Linked DNA regions of Xenopus tropicalis. The protein of the gene in region 1 purifies or fractionates together with the protein of each later gene. This does not show direct contact. Links are inferred from orthologs where the notes say so. Each region holds a gene or a part of one and is shown in the gene's direction. Other genes may lie near its edges.

The links. The genes of interacting proteins can lie anywhere in the genome.
Region 2: the proteins of exoc2 (region 1) and exoc7 fractionate together in Homo sapiens (co-fractionation; 4 studies listed by BioGRID, with this or other methods). This does not show direct contact. The link is inferred for Xenopus tropicalis from reciprocal best matches to the Homo sapiens genes EXOC2 and EXOC7.

What each region holds. Positions count from the first base shown.
Region 1 is NC_030682.2:87,070,880-87,074,846, forward strand, and holds the start of exoc2 (exocyst complex component 2), read left to right. Parts: upstream 1-1,166; 5' UTR 1,167-1,275; exon of another isoform or gene 1,276-1,315; intron 1,316-3,967. UniProt on the Homo sapiens protein: Component of the exocyst complex involved in the docking of exocytic vesicles with fusion sites on the plasma membrane.
Region 2 is NC_030686.2:45,038,648-45,042,166, reverse strand, and holds part of exoc7 (exocyst complex component 7), read left to right. Parts: coding exon 1-13; intron 14-428; coding exon of another isoform or gene 429-440; intron 441-1,329; coding exon of another isoform or gene 1,330-1,497; intron 1,498-1,851; coding exon 1,852-1,920; intron 1,921-2,091; coding exon 2,092-2,237; intron 2,238-2,326; coding exon 2,327-2,479; intron 2,480-2,553; coding exon 2,554-2,652; intron 2,653-2,735; coding exon 2,736-2,795; intron 2,796-2,972; coding exon 2,973-3,039; intron 3,040-3,519. UniProt on the Homo sapiens protein: Component of the exocyst complex involved in the docking of exocytic vesicles with fusion sites on the plasma membrane.

The sequences.
Region 1 (3,967 bases):
CGAAAAAATCGCAAAATGTTCGTTTTCAAGTCGGAACTTTTCCAATTCGGGTCGGATTCGTGGGTTAGTAAATCAGCCCCATAGAGTGTAAGCTCTACGGGACAGAGACCTCCTTCCTACCGTAAATGATACCACATGGCACTGCGTATTTACACTTATTTATTGTATTTATTATAATAGTTGTCCTCCCTGTGTGTAAGTTTCTCTGTTGTAAAATTGTACAGCCCTGTGTATCCTTGTAGCGCTTTCTAAATAAAGTTTTACATACATACATACATACAAGACTACAAAAAAAATTTATACAGGTTTAGTAGCACAATAGATTGATATAGGCCAGAATAATCCTCAACATTTATACACGAGGAAACCTTTTACAGCACTCATTAAAGGGCACATTAAACCCACATAAAATGGTACAATAAGCCTCAGCAACAAATAATACCCTAGTATAAATTGGTACTGTGACCCATTAAGCCTGAAATTCACCCCATCACAAAATTGCTACAGACAACCCTAATATTAACCACCAGCAGGGACTGACACGGCGTTAAAAATCATTCCCCCCACAGTTAGGCTCATCACTTTTAGGGCAGGCTGTGATAGTATGATGTAGGCATCAGCAGCAAGTGTCGGGACCAAGGCAGCAGCTGGCAGGTGGTAAAAGACTTAAATGACCCCTCTTGTGGGCCCCATATTTACAGAGGCCCATTCCATGCAATAAAAAGATTGATGCACTTCAGCTGACATGCCATTCATTTTCTCCTCTGAGGTTAAAAGAGTGCTTTACAATTGTCCCACCTTCACTCCTGTGCTTCACTTGGCTAGTTCAAGCGGGTTCTGAATGGAGGATCTTATATATAAAAAAAAAACTCACTAATCATTGCATAGACTCTGTCAGACGTGGCAGTGTGAGTTATTTTTAATGTCACATACAAAAAAAAATTTGTGTGATCCATAAACCATAGGAATTAGGGGCTACAGCTGAGTACACAGTAACAATGTAAAAGTTGTATGCAGGGCCGCCATCAGGGGGGCACAGTTGTCCCGGGCCCGGCCGCGATACAGTTATAAGCACGGGCCCCCTTTAAAGAGTTCCAGGCCTTAGTGCATTGGTGGTCAGCGGGTAATTTGATTGGTTGCGCCCCGTGCGTACGCGTGACGTCAGCACGCACGGGGCGCAACCTTATCATAGAGTAGCTGCAGCGGCGAGCCGGGGAACGTAAGAAGAGACGGGGGAGGCAGCCGGGGGAAAACAGGCGGACGCAGCCGGAAGAAGTAGGCGAGCGGTGGGGGAGAACATTGCGGGGGAGTTGGAGTATGTTGGGGAGGACGCTGGGGGGAGCTGAAGGATGTTGGGGAGTACGCAGGGGTGAGCTGGAAGTTGTTGGGGAGTATGCTGGGGGGAGCTGATTGATGTTGGGGAGTATGCTGGGGGAGCTGATTGATGTTGGGGAGTATGCTGGGGGGAGCTGATTGATGTTGGGGAGTATGCTGGGGGGAGCTGGAAGATGTTGGGGAGTATGCTGGGGTGAGCTGGAAGATGTTGGGGAGTACGCTGGGAGGAGCTGATTGATGTTGGGGAGTATGCTGGGGGGAGCTGATTGATGTTGGGGAGTATGCTGGGGGGAGCTGATTGATGTTGGGGAGTATGCTGGGGGGAGCTGATTGATGTTGGGGAGTATGCTGGGGGGAGCTGGAAGATGTTGGGGAGTACGCTGGGGGGAGCTGATTGATGTTGGGGAGTACGCTGGGGGAGCTGATTGATGTTGGGGAGTATGCTGGGGGGAGCTGATTGATGTTGGGGAGTATGCTGGGGGGAGCTGATTGATGTTGGGGAGTATGCTGGGGGGAGCTGATTGATGTTGGGGAGTATGCTGGGGGGAGCTGATTGATGTTGGGGAGTATGCTGGGGGAGCTGATTGATGTTGGGGAGTATGCTGGGAGGAGTTGATTGATGTTGGGGAGTACGCTGGGGTGAGCTGGAAGATGTTGGGGAGTATGCTGGGGGGAGCTGATTGATGTTGGGGAGTATGCTGGGGGGAGCTGATTGATGTTGGGGAGTATGCTGGGGGGAGCTGATTGATGTTGGGGAGTATGCTGGGGGGAGCTGATTGATGTTGGGGAGTATGCTGGGGGGAGCTGATTGATGTTGGGGAGTATGCTGGGGGGAGCTGATTGATGTTGGGGAGTATGCTGGGGGGAGCTGATTGATGTTGGGGAGTATGCTGGGGGGAGCTGATTGATGTTGGGGAGTATGCTGGGAGGAGTTGATTGATGTTGGGGAGTATGCTGGGAGGAGTTGATTGATGTTGGGGAGTACGCTGGGGTGAGCTGGAAGATGTTGGGGAGGATGCTGAGAGGAGCTGGAGGATGTTGGGGAGGACGCTGGGGGGAGCTGAAGGATGTTGGGGAGGACGCTGGGGGGAGCTGAAGGATGATGTTGGGGAGGATGCTGCAGTGGGCAGTGGCCCATAGTATGGGGACGCTGGGGGAGGACCAGCAATGTTTTAGGGGGTCCCTGCCCTGGCTACCAATGCAAAACGTAACCCCTGGCTACCAATGCAAAACGTAACCCCTCACTACCAATGTTCTAGGGGGGAGGGCCCTGCATATGCACAGCATACAGTTATGGACCATGGGGGAGGTAGGGGGAATGAGAGGAGTGCAGTGACATCTAGGAAATGCAGAATATAAAGTGACTGCCTGTCCCACCTGTATGCCTGAGGCAAATATAATTGACAGCTGAGATTTTGGACTTAGTTCATGACAGGTATAGATGTCTTAATTTAAAGGAGAAGGAAAGGCTAACTCACTGGGGGGTGCCAAAATGTTAGGCACCCCCAGTGACTTTAATCGCTTACCTTTTACCCCAGGCTGGTGCTCCTGTGAGAAGAAAAGTGCACCAGCCCGGGGTAGCTGCGAGCGAGTGTCTCCTCTTCAGTCTTTGTGCGCTTGCTAACTTCCCATAATGCCTTGCTCCTGCACCAAGATTGGTGTACATGCTTAGTGTGTAAGACCTATGAGGAAGCTTCCTGCTGATTGGCTCAGATCCACATTCCTATGGGGGGGAGGGAGTTCTTAGCATTCTTGAGGGAGGCGGGAGCAGGAGAGAGGAGAGAGCTGCGTGTCTCTGGCACAGGAAAACAAAGACTAGAAATCCTGTGTTTCTTTTGAAAGAGAACTCAGTGTAGCGTTTCTGTAAGTGCTTATGGCTGTATTTACATAGACCTTTATGATAATGCTTACTTAGTTTTTACCTTTCCTTCTTTAATTTTTAGTGCAGTCAGTGATTGATTGGCCAAACTGTTAGCTGTGTGGGTGTAGCATATAACATACAGACTTCACTGTACACAGCAGTTTGTGTGTTTTGAGTGTATCTCTTACAAAGTAATATACAAGTGTATGGTGCAGAAGCTTTAACTAGGTGGCTGTGATGGTAAGGGGAATATTTTAAAGGGGTCGTTCACCTTTAAGTTAGCTTTTAATATGGTATAGAATGCCCTATTCCTTGCAACTTTGCAATTGATCTAAATTATTTGTTAGTTTTTTGTTTTTTTTAATAATTTGCCTTCATCTTCTGCAGCTTTCCAGCTTTTATAGTGATAGTACCCCCTTAAATAGTTTGTGTGTGTGTGTAATAAATATATATATATATATATATATATATATACAGTGGTGTGAAAAACTATTTGCCCCCTTCCTGATTTCTTATTCTTTTGCAGGTTTGTCACACAAAATGTTTCTGATCATCAAACACATTTAACTATTAGTCAAAGATAACACAAGTGAACACAAAATGCAGTTTTTAAATGAGGGTTTTTATTATTTAGGGAGAAAAAAAATCCAAACCTACATGGCCCTGTGTGAAAAAGTAATTGCCCCCTGAACCTAATAACTGGTTGGGCCACCCTTAGCAGCAATAACTGCAATCAAGCGTTTGCGATAACTTGCAACGAGTCTTTTACAG
Region 2 (3,519 bases), on another chromosome or scaffold:
GCCAAAAGGCCAGGTCAGATGTGGGGTCTGAGAGCGCAGAGGGCATGGCTACTATATCAACATCATCTAGTTGGGTTGGGGGTTAATGGATTTCCCTATCAGCCAGTGTAGTGAGGGCACTAAATACAAAATGGTAGTACCACAGTTTCTGGTTTGGAGCAAGGCTAAGCAGTACGCCACTATTCTATGACACAAGCCATTTCCTTATACTGTTAATAAGATGTGTCTGCTCCCTCCTTTATGTATAAACACATATACACAGAGAAGGGAAGTGTATATATACCCTCATACAACATAGCAGCTCGTGCTGATATTAATAACTATACGTATTCGGGCAAGGAAATGTTTCCCTTTAATGCAGACTTTCCTTATCAAGTCCAGAGGTATTGATAGATGTCTGTTTCCTCCCTGTTATGTGCCGGTTCCAGTCTTCGTGCCAGGTAATACAAAGCGGACGCTTTCCTGCCAGTGTGCAGGGCCAGCACTAACCAAAACACGCAGCATCTCTGTGATGTGCACGAGGCACGTGTAAAACCCAGCCTATAGCAAACTTTCCTGTTTGAATAATCCGCCGTGTTTGCCGCTTGTTTCCAGAAAGTGCCCTCGCTTGGTACCTGAGGGTTGTTACTTCCCTCCCTTGTCACATATCTTACTGCTGTCTGTCTTTTGAATTGTTTGAAAAGTGTTTATATGACATGTTAACCCTTGTTTTGCCAGCCTGCCGCCTCCCCAGATACCAGGCTTTTCCGAGTGTCCGAGGCTAGTGGGTGGGAATAGACTGCCTTTTATTAACTGCTGGCTTAACTTAACACAATTTTGCCCTCGTCTCTTTCTTTCACACATTGCATGCTGGGAAATTGAATTACAGGCCTCCCAAATTCTAGGCTTCCACCTAGCTTTTATGGGGCTTCATCTAGTTGGTACAAGTGCCAGCTTTGGAGCAATATAAAACGTTTTGGTAATTATTATTTGTACTGTGAAATTTTTGCCATGGGCCCATGGATTATCCATCTTATAAAAATATGACTGTCTTCAATAGTAAATATGTATGCCTCAATTGCATTTTGCCCCCCCCTAATTGTACTACAGTCTAGCTTATGTTGTGCCATAGAGGCCTCCTTTGTTTTTTCCCAGCATGGAGGTGGTGGGTGCTGCAGAGCCAGTATCATTAGCTGCTTGGTTGCGCTACGTGGGGTGAATATCTCTTGAAATGCCGGTATTGAAGGGTGTGTGTCTTCCATTTCTGTGCTCGGTGGGGTCTTCCTGCTCACTTTCCAAGGTCTTGTCTCCCTCCCTATTTTCTCTTTCCCACTCTCCTCTTGGTGACAGGCACTATCCGCAAGGCTCAGAACCTCCTCAAACAATACTCTCAGCACGGGCTGGATGGGAAAAAGGGAGGGTCCAGTCTCGGAGTCCTTGAAGGTAATTTGCACGTTTCTCCACTGATCCGGCTTTCTTTCTCCAATCTGAACCTTCTGCTCAGAGATTTAAAACCAGGCCCAGATAGGAACTGAATCTTGGTGTATATCTTGGTGTAGGGAGTAAAACAGGCCGTATCCTTCTGTAAGCCTACACTGGAAAGGCAAATAAAAACCCTTCCTGTCAAATTATAAGCCCTGTCTTGGTGGCACAATGGCAGATAATGTGGAAGGATTTTACAGAAGAATGTAGCCTGTGGGGCTCTATGGATAACACTGGCTATATGATCTAAAGGGAAAGTCGTTGATTGACATTCCCACCTACCCTACAATCCCCTCCTCACTTGTCCGGACACCGGTCAGCCCATTGCCTCGGGCCGGGCGTTTACAAGATGTGCCATATAACCCTGTCCCCTGCCTCCACATTGAGCAGGTCTTGAGCAAGAATCACGTGGCCGATACCACGGAGAGGCCGTGGGAGAGAAACACGGCCCGGCCTCTGGTGAGTACTGGGTCCTTTGGGATATAGAGGGTCCCTTCTTTAAAAAAGGTGTTATCAGAGGTCTTTATAAAACTCGTAGCCATCAGTATTTGAACTGAGACCGGCACCGTGGTCCATTACCAATAACTAAGTGACAGCGAGGATCTATATGTAACTTGCCTGCCTTTGCAGGGAAGGAGGATGCCCTTGATCTAGAGACTGACACCTACATCTACTGCATCAGTGCCTTTGTCCGGCTAGCCCAGAGTGAGTACCAGCTGCTGACGTATATTATACCGGAGCACCACCAGAAGAAGACTTTCGATTCACTCATCCAGGTCTGCCGTTGCCACCTTCCTAATTTGGGGGTCACTAAGTATCTCAGAGATGTGCTCAGGGCTTATCTATTGCTCCCTTATTATTTCAGGAGACCTTGGACAACCTTATCCAGGAGGGTGAGAATATTGTATCCGCTGCTAAGAAAGCCAATGCCAGACATGATTTCACCTCTGTCCTGAGTATCTTCCCCATCCTAAGGCACCTGAAACTTACAAAGCCTGAGTTTGACAAGGTTCTCCAGGTAAGTGCTTGGTGCTTGTGGGGGATTACCCAAACATCATGCACCCTCTCTGACCCATCTCCCAATCTATTTAGGGCACCGCAGCTGGCACAAAGAACAAGCTGCCCAACCTCATCACCTCTATAGAGGCAACTGGTGCCAAGGCTTTAGAGGATTTTGCAGACTGTATAAAGGTAATGGGCACTTACTGGGAAGTGAAACTGTTCATGGGTGCTGGTCGGTTTCAATCTAATAGAGTTGTGTCCTTCTTATCCAGAATGAACCAAAGGAGACCAGTGTGTCAAAGGATGGCACAGTTCATGAGATCACCAGCAATGTGAGTTTTACAGCCATTATGTTGGTGAATAATGTGTTCTGAGCAGTGTGTGCATGGCATTGTGGGTTAGTGAGTGTGCCATGGGAAGGACTCATGGGATAGGCAGGTTTGTCGGGAGAATCTTGTGTTAATGATACGTCTGCCCCAGTAAAACTGATCTCTCTGCTCCCTATACAGGCCATCCTGTTTCTGCAGCAGCTGCTGGAATTTCAGGAGACAGCAGGAGCCATGCTTGCCTCCCAAGGTATCTCTGAGTGCTGTGGTCTCTTGCTTGCTACAACCACCCATATCCATTTCCAAAGGCTCCCAACAGGGAAAACCCCAGAGTTTGGTATCAGTTCACTTCCAGGGGAGGATTCCACTCACTTTGTGCATGTTGTCATTTCCCCTCTTTTTCTTGTTCCTACTACTTTCCCTTCAACATTTTATATATATTCTGCTCTTGCTTTCCCTTTTCCGGGTTCACTTGTCTGGCTTTATTTCCCTCTCTATCTCTCTCGCTCTGACTCTTTCTGCTTTCCCTTGCCTCTCTCTTTTACTCCACTCCCTGTTTATAAGTCTTGCTCTTGTAACTCCCTCTCACCTTTATATTTCAACTGAAATGTTTTTCTTTAACTTTGTTCTTCTCTTTATACTGCACTAAACTGATCTACTCTTTCCCCTCTTGTCTTTCTGGATCCTGGTTCCCTCCGTGCATTCTTGATTTGCCCCCCAATCTTATTTA